Linked DNA regions of Lepisosteus oculatus. The protein of the gene in region 2 binds, or shares a complex with, the protein of the main gene of each other region. Links are inferred from orthologs where the notes say so. Each region holds a gene or a part of one and is shown on either strand. Other genes may lie near its edges.

Evidence for each region. Proteins that work in one complex are often made in the same cells at the same time.
Region 1: the proteins of pak4 (region 2) and inka1 are in contact, whole or in part, in a crystal structure (PDB 4XBU), measured with the Homo sapiens proteins. The link is inferred for Lepisosteus oculatus from reciprocal best matches to the Homo sapiens genes PAK4 and INKA1. Residues at the interface, in NP_001014831.1 of Homo sapiens: Ser331, Gln358, Arg359, Glu361, Leu362, Thr404, Asp440, Lys442, Ser443, Asp444, Phe461, Leu475, Val476, Gly477, Thr478, Pro479, Tyr480, Trp481, Met482, Arg489, Glu507, Glu512, Phe516, Asn517, Glu518, Pro519, Pro520, Met524; in NP_976248.2 of Homo sapiens: Gly178, Arg179, Ser180, Arg181, Gln182, Pro183, Leu184, Val185, Leu186, Gly187, Asp188, Asn189, Cys190.

The regions. Positions count from the first base shown.
Region 1 is NC_090699.1:53,994,629-54,002,092, reverse strand, and holds the start of inka1 (PAK4-inhibitor inka2), read right to left. Parts: upstream 3,095-7,464; 5' UTR 2,971-3,094; intron 2,845-2,970; 5' UTR 2,801-2,844; coding exon 2,798-2,800; intron 1-2,797. UniProt on the Homo sapiens protein: Inhibitor of the serine/threonine-protein kinase PAK4. Acts by binding PAK4 in a substrate-like manner, inhibiting the protein kinase activity.
Region 2 is NC_090698.1:5,422,827-5,429,761, reverse strand, and holds the start of pak4 (serine/threonine-protein kinase PAK 4), read right to left. Parts: upstream 3,105-6,935; 5' UTR 2,487-3,104; intron 1-2,486. UniProt on the Homo sapiens protein: Serine/threonine-protein kinase that plays a role in a variety of different signaling pathways including cytoskeleton regulation, cell adhesion turnover, cell migration, growth, proliferation or cell survival.

The sequences.
Region 1 (7,464 bases), on a different chromosome or scaffold from region 2:
AGTGGGACAGAACTAAGGTGGCCTGTGTGTTTTTAAGAAGAGAAAACTCATGGCTGAGTAACAGCACTAAAACCCACAGGAGTAGGAGAAGTCATTTCCTTGAAACTGAGTCACAGGAACTTCAGATTGGCCAAAACAGACTAGTGGCAACTTAGAAGCATTCATACCATGCAACAGCTGGTTTTGAACTTAAACAGCTAATTACATTTAGTAAAATCTACTAACTTTTTCCTCCACCTAAGAGGCAAAAGTAATTGATTATTTTCACTACCTGGAATACTGTCAACGTGAGAGATGTCACCCCTGTTACTAACATAAATATACTGTATCTTGGCAAGCTTCATATGTTAAAAAGGAGGTTTTTAAAGTAAGTGAAATATATCATGAAACAGCATTGAGTGTTAAGAACACTACATAAATGCACTTAAATTGCTTATATGTCCTTTGGTCAAATGAAATCTTAATATGGATATTGCACAGGACATTTCCTTATCTTTTTTACAAAGACTTAGACTGATACTTAGTGTAATTATCACTGGTCAGTGTTCAAACATGGGATTTCCCAATATTTCTGAGCACTAAAATCATTAAATATAGACTTTTTTACATTTCACATTGTTCACCCTAACCAGGGAATGAACAGTAGATAGAAAATGGATGTATGGACATTTGTCACATCAATTTAGGATTATATTGTAATTGAACTAATAATTGTAACTAGTGAACTTTACTTTTTGAGCATAACAGATTATTTCTGTGGCTTTCACAACTGTATAACACATCCCTAGTTCATAGTCCTACAGGCTAAACAGTGCTTATTTGGAGTAGCTATGTTATCACAGCTGTGGAAAGTTAGCTCTTTGGCTCCAAAACAGGATCCTTGAGTGTGAGATGTATGGGGCTGGGTAAGGAGAAAGAAGGAAAGAGAACATGCTCTTTTTAATACTTCTTTCAGCACTTTATTTAAATACCACTTCTTTTAGGATTTCATTAAAAAATGTACTGAATTATTTTACCATAGCAAAAATTCCAAGATTGCTCAATGCCATTTTTACTAACAGTGTAAAGATAACAACTCTGAACAAAGCTGTGTTCTGGAGTGCATCTTGAAAAAATTAAAGAGAGCAGCTCTTGTACGTTTTTGGTTGGTCCTCTGCTTCCAATTGTCTTTATTAGTAAACAGTCCATCACAGCTGAAACCTAAACACACCTGAGGTCTTTTGTGAAGAACGTGAACTATGCACACTGAAGAACTACTTTTTTCACCCTTCTGTTTAGGTTTTAAAAGAACAATGTAAAGGAACGTTACATCCCAAAGGGAAAGCAAAGAGCTAGTAAACGCTATTTCTGCTTACGAATTGCAGCAAATTATCTGATCGCTTTATTGCCTAAGAATAAAGCATTGCCCAGAATAATTATCGTGGTTTCGTTTACTGACACATAAGTTAAATCAGTTCAAAAGCAGACGTAAAGCAATTAACCAATAAAAACTTTAAAAAATGTTAAACAAATGTAGTAGGACGCTTTCTGACCTGTAACAATACCTTGGCAGGTCTACCAACCTGAATACAAAGCCAACAGTTATGAGAAACAAGAATATCTCCAAATGACTCGTCCAGTATCACTCCATTCCAAGTTCCCAAACGGCAAAATACAGGGAATTGTTTCACAAAGAGGTTCAAGTCCCTCAACATCCGCCTAGTATAGTAGATTTCCTGTAATCTGTAGTACACGTTTACAAGAATCTACATTTATAAAACCGCCGCAAACCGCAGAAAATGACCAACAGTATGAAAAGATAAACTACAGTATTCGCAGAAATGATACCACTGATTTATGCGGTGCTATCAAATGCTATAACTCTTAAAACAATGTGCACATTTAATCTCTTAATAAACCATCTTATAAATATAACGCTGCATTGTGGTAACGTTTTTCCGTAAATTTGTCTAGAGGCCTTTCGCAATTATTTATTTTTCGTCGCCCTCTTGAGAACCTCGCGGCTTTTAAATAAAAAGCCACCATTTGGTTGCGTTTTCACGAGCACATGGCATAGAAAAACATCACACCAAGGGCTAGATCAGTTCTACTGTGGCAAAGTCAATAAAAGATTAAACGTTTCCCAATCCACAGTCTATTGGCTTTCTACACATCTGCATTGGATTGCAGCATAGCTTTCCTATAAGAAAAACGTTTTGCCACTCATACTTCAATAAACACATTTACTGATTAGATTTTAAAATTGTACCTCGGTTTTCATACCTTTTCAAGTTATCATTTTAAGCTTTTAGTGAGTCTTTGGTATAGTGGCTTTTTAATGGGGTTTACAGTATTGCACAGTATAGTACAGTAGATACAAATACTATTATCTATTTGTGCGTTAAGAACGTTATGGAAAAGGTGTTAGAAGCCTAGCTGTATCTCTTAAAGCAAAGTACCATACCACTTTACCATAGCTCGTCAAATATGATTTACCGCAAGACCCTACTGCTAATGTGCTAATTAAGGTGCTTTTTTCAAAGATAACCCATACTTCCTTGCATTGCCTGCATGTTCTGCAGTCTCCGAGAATGGTAACATATAGTTTCTCAAATAACTATAGCATGGTGGTTATCGGATACATGTCCCACACAAACTGACAGTTCTCAAACTTCTCTTAGTCATGCTTTCGGTGATCCAGCATCGTAACGTTATTATGATTATTCTAACTCCCATTAAAGTCAAAAGGCATTGCATGTATCGATGTTGTTTTTCACAGTAAATATAATCCAATTTTAAAATTAGTTTTAAAACTCACCATTTCCTTTTTAGTTAACAGCAGCCAGTTACAGCTAACCAGTTTTCCTGAAAGAAAGAAAAGGATGTTTAATCGCTGACCGTACAGAAATGAACCCAATTAGAATATTTACCGATTATATATAAGGAATTGTGTATATAGAAATGGAAATGTATATATATATAGAAACTTACATTGGTATGTGATTCGTTTCCAGATGCGTACGCGTAGTCCTTAATGCGCTCTACAAGTACACATGTATCTGCAGACGTTTCAGTACTCCTTTCAACCTTTAAAGCATTATAATGCAGGTCTAAATCTCCCTCAGCGTTTTTGTCCAATCTGTCCCCATTTCAGCGTGGGACTCTCCACCAATAGGAAACGTGCATCACCCTCTCAGCCAATACCCGCGCTCCTGAAATCCGAGACAATGTGGAGCACGGTTTTACCTCGCCAAGGTGTACCCCAACTAGCAGATTATCAGGCAACACCTTCGTGAGGGGGTTACCCACAGGGGCTCAACACAGGAGCAGCCAGGTGCCGAGATGGTATTGTTCAGTGGATATCTGGCAGTTTAGAAAAATAAATAGGGCGATATGGAACACGTAATGAATTGTTGGTTTTTTTCCTGCTGTCACTCGGTCTCTAAGTAGATGGCTAGCACGTTTCAACATCTCCCCGAAAACTACCTGGGGTGAATTCTATGTACAGTAAGAACACAATTCAATAAGCTACACAAACCCCTTCAGCATGGCATTCCTTTCTAAAATGGTTTGAACATGCTGTTACTAAAGCCCAAATAATTTACATGGAATAGCGGATAGTGAATAACTGTTTTTATAACCCACAGAGACTACAAATATGAACTAAAGTTGGTCAATCCATCCGTGTTTTTATTTGCAGTAATATTAGCTTGTTTTGCAGCAGTGTGATATATGCTCAGCTTTCCTAATGAACCATGCGCCAATGTCAGGATCAAAATAAGTTAATATTATTAAATTAATCTTTTAACCATCTCGAGATCTTTCCTGAGTGAACAGATGCACTGTTAATGTATTTACTCTATGTAAAATTGAAGGCATTTTTTCAGATATGCTATATTCAATTTGATTTTGATAAGAACGTATGAAAACTGCTAAGGAAATTCTTGCAAGAATTAAGTATAATACGTACGATTTACACCTGAAAGTTCTGACTTGCTTTTGTCTTCCGAAAACATTTTCTGCTTTACTAAATGCGCATGTTTATTCTACAAACATCACCTATTAAACCGTGTTTTGAAAACTTGTTTCACTTTAAAATAATACATGCTTAAATCGATGTGCTTCGTTTCTAGACAATGAAGTGACGTGACTGGGGTATCCCAATGTTTTAGATTTATATAAGCTCGCATAACAGTCTGTAAACATAATATCAGTTCTTATAATGGAAAGCACGCATGCTTTATGTATTAATCCTACATTAGGGGTTAGATTTAATATTTTATTAGCTTATCCCGTGCTGTGTTTAGATATACTGTGAACGTTTTTTTAATCATAGCTACATGTACAGTTACGCCTTGTTATAGGGGTTGTACAGTACATAAGAGAATAAACCTATCAACTCAAAAACGAACATTTTGTTGATCGCTGACAAGAAGAAAAGGACATACAGTGTGTAGCCTATGAGATAAGATGCTACTGAAAACATCTTCATAGCACTTTCACCATTATCTACAGTACGTACAGTATAATTAAGAGAACACCCATACTGATCTGTATTGCAAAGTGCGCCAGTTGCTGATTTCTGAGTTTCTGGAATATTATAGTATGCCTTTTGTCGTGTGATAGCCATTTCATGTCAAGCAGTGCCCAGATACTGTATTTCTTGAAACATATTTCTCGTATTGGATTCAGCGGTTATTGATAATGCACGGATAGATATTCTAAGCAAAACAGCCACTAATGATTGGGTAGTTGACCGCGATTCTAACACGATAATAACTAATAATAAATTATATCGCTGTAAAAGCAAACCTTGATGGGATAAATATTATATTTTTTTTCAATATGTAGAGACATATTTTACTTGTTTAGGGGATTTGTAAAATAGCTGATTAGAGCACATATAAGTTTTTAAAGGTAATTTTCCCCATCACAAAATGGTCTACGTTTTGCATGAATATATTAGACTAACGTGACATCTACTTTAAGGGGGTATATTAAATTATGCATTCGTAAGCCGTATGTAGATATTATATTATATTGTATTTAATCAACATTCTGTGAAAGACATTTTATCTAAAGTGAAACTGCAGCGTTCTCCAATTTAGGTCCGTTCCTTAAAATCAAATTTCTCTTCTTCGCTCTTTGCGCCTTTCTCAAGCACAGTGGACTACCCCCATCTAGCGTCTGATTTTAAACGCAGAGGCAGTGTAAATACACCACAGGCTTCATTCTTGTGTATCAGCAGCTACGCGGATGTAAAATGGTGTGAAAACTCATCAGTGCTACATTCCCGTAAACATTCCGAACATTCTCGCGTTCATCGCTGTTTTACAATGTAAATAAGACTGTTAACAAGCAGTTACCTTATGCAAAGATGTCAGCCTGGCCTTAGGAATGTTACACAAATTGTGAACAGCTGTTTTATAGAATACGATAAGCATAACAGCTACTCGTAGATCCTTGAAGAGAGTATTCCACGTGCAGTTTCTCAGAGCGTAGTACTGTGTGATGTCATTTGCTAAGAAAAATCATTCTTCTTTCTTGATTTCAGTCTGTATTTAGTGTCTAAATAGTTCCTTCAAGTTAACTCTTGATACACAATTTTGGGCTATTATAAGAGACGCCATTCATTAAAAACGTTAAGAAGTTTTCAGTCTTATTAATATACAAGCGAATAATGTTCTTTCGTGTTGCATAGTCTAATGACGGATCGACGACGTATCTGTTTTTAAATGGACCTTGTTTGAATCTGATAATGCGTCCACGTTTAGCGATTAGTAGCATATCTGTTGCAACAATGAAGTAGAAATGGTACTGCTTGCAATATTAGATTTTGTTAAAGACGCAAAGAAAATACTGTATTATTATATTTAAAAAATAAGTGTTGTTTGTATCAACATTAATAATAAAACAGTAACTGTAAGTAGTAATAACAATAATATTATGGTTAAGAATAAGTCGATAATATTGTTTGCTTACAACAATAATATAATTAAATTTTAAATAATAGCGATAATAATATTGTTCTTGAGAATAACAACTAACCACCACAATAACAGCTGCGGACTTTGCCTTTTCACTGTGTTAATACTGCCCTCTAGTAGCTTTACTTGGAACGGGTGGGAATAAAGGGATTTTCAAGGTCACTAAGAAAAATCAATATGATTTTGGCATCATGCTTCTCAAAGGAACCACATCGACCTCCTGACTTAAAAATAAACAAAGTGTTTATTACTGCATATTAGGTTGTACTTAATAATGATGTGAATAAAAGATGTGTTAACATTTCTACATCAATAACAGATTGTGACAACGCTTCAAAGATATTGTTGATGTGTGGTAAATATTCCAGGACCGTTTCTGAAAGAGAAAATGTTACAGAATAAATTATGGCAATAAATATACAAACACAAAGATTTAAATAATTTTCAGAAAGAATGTGGAAAAAAATGTCTTTGAATGCACCTTGGGCTACAGAGCTATCTTCCACCAATTACTTATCTGAGTTTATTCCCTGATGCATGCCATCAGAGTGTGAGCTGCCTCATCTGGTTGCAATCCCAACTCAAAATGATAAAATACAGCGGACAACGTCATCAGAAAGCTGTAAACCAGGCAAGACCAGGCAGATCTAAGTTTATATAACAGTGAATTACAGATCAGTTATGTGTATAGAGAAGGTATGTTTGATCTTCATGGCACTTGGCAACCCTCTGGGCTTACAGCTAAAGACAACAAAATTCTCAGTCTCCAGGACAAGATCAGTAAAAGTGTGTTTGCACCGCTGACTGGATTCTGGACTGAGAGCAATAGAAAAGCTCTAATAAGATGGGTCAGATGTCTTCTTATGGGCTGCTTTTCCCAGCTCTCTTTCATGTCTGTCTGCTTCAAGGTGAGAACGTTGGATTAGCTTTTCCTTTTAGCTCTAACTTTGTTCTTTCTTTTACATTTGTGTCCTAAATTGCATTAACGAGTGTAAATGTTAACAGCTGTATTGTTAAGCTTTTGTCATCATAAAGATTAGGTTGTTTCTCTTTCACCAACAGTGTGACAGCAGTAATACTGTTTGTTATGTTTAGCTAATTAAAATGCCACCACCAAATGTTGTATGATCAGTTTATTTTAAAATACTGTACATCAACGCTGTTGCTTCTTCCTACCTGACCTGGGTTCATTTTTACAAGTTTTCTGCAAAGCAGATAAAACAGACTTGAATTCTGTAAAGTGGTGGAATTATAATTAAAAATAAATAATATATTAAATAATAACACAATATTAATAATACAAATGTTTTATACTGCACCGAGCAATGATAAATTCTGGAACATCATGACATAACGACAGTGTCAGTGTCAGGGATACTCTCAGACATTAGGTCTAAGTAAATTAGCTTCATCATTTAATATGATGAGTTATTTATTGGAAAACAGATAATTCCAAAAAAATCATTTTAATTGCTGTATCATTTTCGCTTACCTGTTT
Region 2 (6,935 bases):
CCTCCTGGAGCTGCCCTAGGTATCTTAATGTTATAACCTTTGACCTCTCGACATGAGGCCGGCCGTGTTCCAGGAAAGGAAGGAATGGATCCAAAGGGGAATGGCAGTCATGTCTAACTCAGCCACTCTCAACCAGCAGGCATGTGCCATCCGAAACCCAGATGCAAAACCAATTCAGAGCCAGACCTTCCACTTTGAGAGAAAAAGGAAGCTGAAGGAATTGCTACTGAAGATTATTAAAGCACATGTGACTCGCGTACTGGTCACTTTTATTTGACCACTATTTATTAGTGCACTAACCTCCTCCACTAACCTGAGAGTGCAGCGTGTTGCACTACTGACATTGCTATCCATGTGTTAACTGCCTTTTATGTGGGGAACAGTCACACGAATAACTAGAGAATAACAGAGTGTCTTGTTCCAGAGCGAAATATCCCTTTAGCCTTTATTTTTTTTATTTAGAAAACAAATGTTAAATATCGCCATCCGTCCATTTTCCAACTGCTTCTTCCGATTCACGGCCGCGGGAGAGCCGTGCCTATCCGGCCAAACAACGGGTGCAAAGGCGGGGTACCCCCTGGATGGGACACCAGTCGATCTCAGGCCAAACGCAGGGTTTTTTTTTTCCTCGCTAGAAGCCAATTAGCCTTCCAGAATGTTTTGGGATTGTGGGAGGAAACCGGAGCGCCCAGCATGAGGAGAACACGCCAGCATGAGGAGAACACGCCATCTCCACACAGGCAGCACCCCTGGTCCGGAAGTAAAGCTGGGACACCAGCAATGCAAACCACGGCGCCACCACGCTGTCCTGTTGAGTATCTGATCAGGAAAGTGCCCTTCAGAAAAAGGACAAAGAAGGTAATAATATTTACCTGTGTCTGGGACAACAGATGATTATTTAGAAGAAATTTTGGGGTAGAAGCAATTTAGACGTGAAGGACAGGTGTTTCAGGGAAGGGACATGTCAGGCGAGGAAGAGGATAAATAATGGCAAATGTGCTCATTGGGATTGCTGAACCCTCTGTCAATTTCTGCGCTGCTCCCTTGTTCATCAGTGATGCGGTTTTCTCGCTTTTACACGAAGTGATCAAATGAAACCTTTGAAGGTCAGCACTTAGCTTCACGGAGCGGCTTGACAGACAAACCTTAAACAACCCTGATCTCAAAACAACCTCACACACCCATATCTGTTTCCGCTGGCAGCTTTCTCCCAAAGAGTCTTATCAGTGAATTGTAAATCGTTATTGGGAACCAGCACGATGCAGACCGCACCGATCGATACCGTTAAATTACAAACAACAACAGCGACACTTTATTAAAATACCGGCGGTAGAATTACGATCCCAATCACTTATTAAAAAAAAAGCAGCAGTGTAATTGGAAGCACAGAAATTAAAAAGATAAACCCGAATGTAAGAGTCAACAGGTGGTCCATCACCAATGCGCCAAGAGCCTGCGATTTCATTTCTAAGAAATAAGGAAAGGCATTTCTGGGGGCGGCAGGTTTCTTCACAGGGAGGTGTCAAGTCCTGCACGTTACCAATATATCGCACATTTGCAGTCACATGATTTGCTGTGCCTCGGTTTCCCCTCTCCGCCTCACACCCTCATGTTCTCCCAACTTTCACAAGGGACGCCGCACACGACCACCCAGCCGGAGTGGACGGGGTGTCGGCGCCCCGCGGCACGATTACTCTGTATCAGCAGCGGCTACTGCGCCGCACGACAGTATTTATTACATACGATTTACACACACATATATATATACACACACAGTAGTCGTTTCTGCCGTAAGACGGGCACTAAATGCGCGCTGTGGTGTACGTGGAGATCAGCACTCGCCCAGGAGTATCACATGAACATTTCCCAAGTACAGCAGATGTCTTGATATGGTCCAATAATGGCTGCAAAAGGACTCGAAACACAGGACGGTATGTTGAATTGATCCAACATGAATCCGCTGCCGGAAAGTGGAGCAAACTGCATTTCTTCCCCGTATACTGCAGCTCATAATGATAAGTCACGCTGATAATAATCGTGTTTGGACTCGCGGAGTGTGCCATGCTGTAGGTCCACTTCAGAGAACTGCCCAACACATCGATCCAAACGCAGCCTGACCTGGACGAGTGACCACGACAGCCAGGTCTTGCGGTGTGCTCCGGTTTGATTTTTGTTTGTTTTGAAAACGATTGGGAAAAAAACAAACCACGACCGGACTTGCACAGATTTTCAGATACATTCCTAAATAGGTCAACGGTTTCGGTTTTCGCCGAAAGAAGGGCGAATAATCCACTAAAATTTAAAAACAAAACAACCTCCGATACTTGGACACGACCTAGCTCTTGAGCCACACCGCAAGTTTTCACAAATGACAAAGTAGAAACTGTAGATAGCCACGACTGAACTCCACTGACCCTTTCACAAAAGATACAAAAAATAATAAAATATAAAGCCAAACAATGTATGAAGTTTATATCGTTTCCTACCTGGGTGTTTCCTTGGTGTCTCCCGTTCTAAAGCAACTCCGAAAAACCCCAGCGAGTTTCTCTCTCTGCTGTTATTGATTATATCCTATTCCGTAGATCCCCAGCCGCGACCTCACTTTCTCGTCGCCATGTTGGGACAGGGATCGCAATATCCGGGACATTGGAGTCACTCCAGCTCCATAGCAACCAGCGTAGGAACTGAGCCCCTAGCAACCGCGGACTGACTGCTGGACAGTACAGGAGCCAGAGTCTCCGGACTTCAGTTTTGTCTCAGTAACGGACCCTTAAAATCGCCTCTGCCGCATTCGGTTTCGCTCCTTGTTATAGTCTAAATATAACATACTCTCCACCAGAAGCTGTTTTCCGAAGATGTAAAATGTAATTATGTCGCCGAAAGGGATTCGCCCTAAGATGATGAGATAGTTAATTGACAATATGTTAATTGCCTGCCAAGTCGATCGGATCTTTATCGTATTATGTTGGAGTCTAATGTGTGCAGTTTATGCTGCGGGCAAAAAAAACAACTGCAGGATTCCAGGAAAAAAAATATTTACCGCAAGATTGTGTGTGTCTGAATTAAATCAATCAGCTTTGCTGTTGTAAAGGGTACCTGCCTAAGGAGAAACTAAATCTTGAGAGCCGTGGGTGATAAAACTAACAAGTCTTCGTTAGAAAGCACGCCACCAGTAAGCAACGAATGAGCCTAACATGGACATAATAGTCATCATGTGACATCGGTAGAAGAGAAAAGGTCACGTTGGAGGAAAACCAGACCATACCTCAGAGTCTGGCTGTGTGTGTGTGTAGGGGTCTGTTCAGGATTCATTTAAAAGAAGATGGCTCTAAAATTACTTCATGTCTGAAACCTGCTGCACAATCGTGCTGAAAACATTGATCTGAGAATCAAATCGAGGCCAAATCGACAGCTCCAGACATTCACAGGGGTGGGGCTCATTTTAAATATCTAAGTGCTCCTGACTGCTAAGGTCATCGCACAATTCAGTGAATTACATGAATGGGCTTTTGTGTTCTGAGCCTAAAACATGTTTTCTTGAAGATGATATCCACACATCCTACATCTAACTGCTTTATCCAATACAGGGTGCCAGGGGAGCCAGAGACAATCCCTGCGATCAATGGGCACAAGGCAGGGCACACCCTGGGCAGGATGCCAGTCCATCAGAGGGCAGACACACACACAGACAACCCACACTTGCACCAGGGCCAATTTTACCAGAAGCCAGTTAACCTACTTAATTAAATTGGGGTTAAGATCTTACCATAACATCTTTGGACTGTGCACTGAACCAGAGAACCCAGCAGAAACCCATGCAAACACAGGTAGAACACACAACCCTAACCCCTAACCCCTCAAAGGGTTAAAAAGGGTTTTTCATTTGGTAGAAAAGCTAGTTTTTCATTGAGTGGGTGGTGTGATGTGTTCTCTTGCCAGGGGGATAAAATAAATGCAAATGATCTTTGAATGAATATTCGATGAATGTATTTAATATGCAACAGGATCTAGCATCGTCTGGAATGTGAATAGCTTGGAAACTAATATGCTTCCAACTTCAACCTATTTTATGTGAGGATGTGTGTTGCTAAGGATATGTATTCTGCAGAGAGTTTGTCACTTCTGTAGGAGTTCTCAGCTAGAAAATGGCAAGACAAAGTTCAATAATGCAGTGAAAGTGAAAAAGACATTTGCTCTGACTGCATCTGCTGAAAATGACAAGCAACACAACTGCAGGTTTTCAATATATCAGGTAACAGGAGATGGGAACAGCAGTAGTACGATACTGAAGGAGACGGATGTCAAAAATCGTTATTAATGGTAGCAGAAGCTCCTCTGTCTCGAAAATGACAACAAATCCAGGTGAAAACGCAATCAAATACCGAACGCTTAGTGTCACCCACCCAGATTAGGCTGGGGAAGGACATACTCAATGACAGGACGTTGTCCATAAACAGATTAGAACACACTTTCAAATTCAGTTTTCACATAAGGAAGTAAGAGGACGCTAAGTGGCCCATCTGGCCTGTTTGGGAGTTAGTAGCTAATTGATCCAAGGATCTCATCCAGTCATTGCTTGAAAGAAGCCAGGGGGTATCAGCCTCAACAGTATAGCTAGGTATCTTGTTTCATACTCCCACAACCCTTTGTATAAAGAAGGGCCTCCTGTTCTCAGTTTAAAATGCACGTCTATGTCATTGCATTGTGTCTCCTCTGGGTTGTGTCAAATTTGCTTGGAATGTAAAAAAAACCAACAACACTCATTTGGATCGAGAGATGCTGGTGAAACAAGAATATTGAAGGCGGGGTCCTCGGCTATACTGTTAATTTTCAGCTGTTTCAAATAGCTGAAGGGGTAATGGGATATACAAAAGGGAAAATAACTGGGCAAAGGCAAGAGAAAGGCTACTGCCTGCTGTACATGAGGAAATCAATACAGATGCATTCAGAACACAACCCCCAGGGCAGCCAGCGTGACTGCCTAACTATGGCAGTCTGAGGCTGTCATCTGTGAAATTACAGCTCAGCTCAATAAATAAAATGTTTTTTTCAGTTTATTTAACCCCCAACACTACAAACATATTAAAACATGCTCATATACCTGTTTTTAAAAAAGTATTTTCTTTGTTTCTTGGAAAATATCCTTGCTGGATAACTTAAAAACGAAATAAAATTCTATCTTATTTATAGTACCCAACATATGCATGCCAGATCTGTATGCATGCAAGTACAGCAGTCTGTGTACTGAATGCATTTTTGTGTTTAGGCTAAACAAAGTCAATGTTTCTTGTCTCCGTTTGATCTCCTGTCTTCAGAGGAGCACTGCAACTCTCCATGATGAAGATTGCTGACAAACAGTAACATCCCACCTGATACTGAACCACCATCATCATGCCCTTAATGTGGAAGAGCCCAACACTCAACAGCCACCTATCAAGAGACTGAAAACCATCAGACTCCCTTCCCTGAAGACTTAGGAACAACAAGAACTGAATTTCTTTAGTCTTGAAAAGAGAAGACTGTGAGGGAACCTGATTTAAGTGTTTAAAATCCTCAAAGTCACCAGTAAGGTTAACCCAGAGGATTTCTGTAGAGGGAACCTGAGGACACAAGGGAAACCTATATGTAAGTGAATTTAAAACAGAAAACAGGCGGCACTTCTTTACGCAAACAGTTGTGGAGGTATGGAGCAAGTTATCCAACCGTGGTGCTAAAGCCCAAAACCCGGCTTGCTTTCTTTGCATCTCTTTAAGGTCTTCAGAGCTTAGCAGAGATACACCAACTGTAGAATACATTTGGGAAAACATTGGTTTGAAACAGCTATTGTCATTTATGATGTCCACCAAACGAGAAGTGTTTTAAATGGTGAATTCAACACAATTTGAAAAGGGACCAGTTTATCCCACTGTATTCCAGGTGCAGTCGATGCCAGTGCAGCACTCTGTGGGGCAGAAAGCAGAGACGTCATCTTCTGTGAAAGACATGACAGTAAGAGCAGAGGTACGACCGTAGAGAAGCAGGGAGGAAAAAGACAAGCACCCCTAGAGATGCACACTGCTTGCACAACAGGAACTGCACTCAGTGGGTAAATGTCAGCATCGATCGGAGATTATGATCATGCATGCACTGCTACTTCCCTAGCCATTGTCAAAAAAAGCGGTAGACAAAGATGACGTGGGCTCCTAAGAGGCTCCATCAGTAAAGGCTGTGACAGAGTGCAAACTGAGGACCAAGGCCCTGACGTTTCATGTGTGAGCCGGGTCACTGCGGAAGCCAGCTCAGGGTTTCCCCGAAGGGTGGCAGGTTAGGGTGGGTGTGGCTCAGCCACGGTCCAGTCGACTCTGTGAACTGCAGGGCGTCTCCCTGAGAGAGGCACCTCTTCTCAGGCCTGGACTAGCTCTCCTGCTGGCACTGTGGAGCTCACAGCGTGCCAAATGGTGAATGCGTGTCAGAGAAAAAAAAGGGCACACGAATGAAATCGTAGAAAGAAGGCAGAGTCTCAATGCAACTGACAGTGCCAAACTGCCAGGATGTATAATCGACCTAGTCACACAGAGAGCTGCTTGCCTTGATGGGTCATAGGAAGCCAAAGACTATCCTGGAAGCACAGGGCAAATTTAGAAAAATCCATATCCATATGCCTGGAGGTGAGAAGACACCCAAACACCCAGAAGAAGACCATGTGAGCACTAGTGGAACATGCACACTCCACACAGACGCCACAGCAACCCAGGACCAGCCCCAGAGTCCAACAGCGGTGAGGCTGCAGTGCTAACTGCCTGCCACGCCACTGTGCGACCCAGGGCACGCAATAAAAGAAAAGGCTCATCTGCAATTCCAAAAAAAAAAAACTCCTTAAACAATCAGATCCTGCATGGGTTAACTGAGCACAACTGGTGGCCCTGCTGGGACCGCTGTGGGCTCCTGGTGTCGGC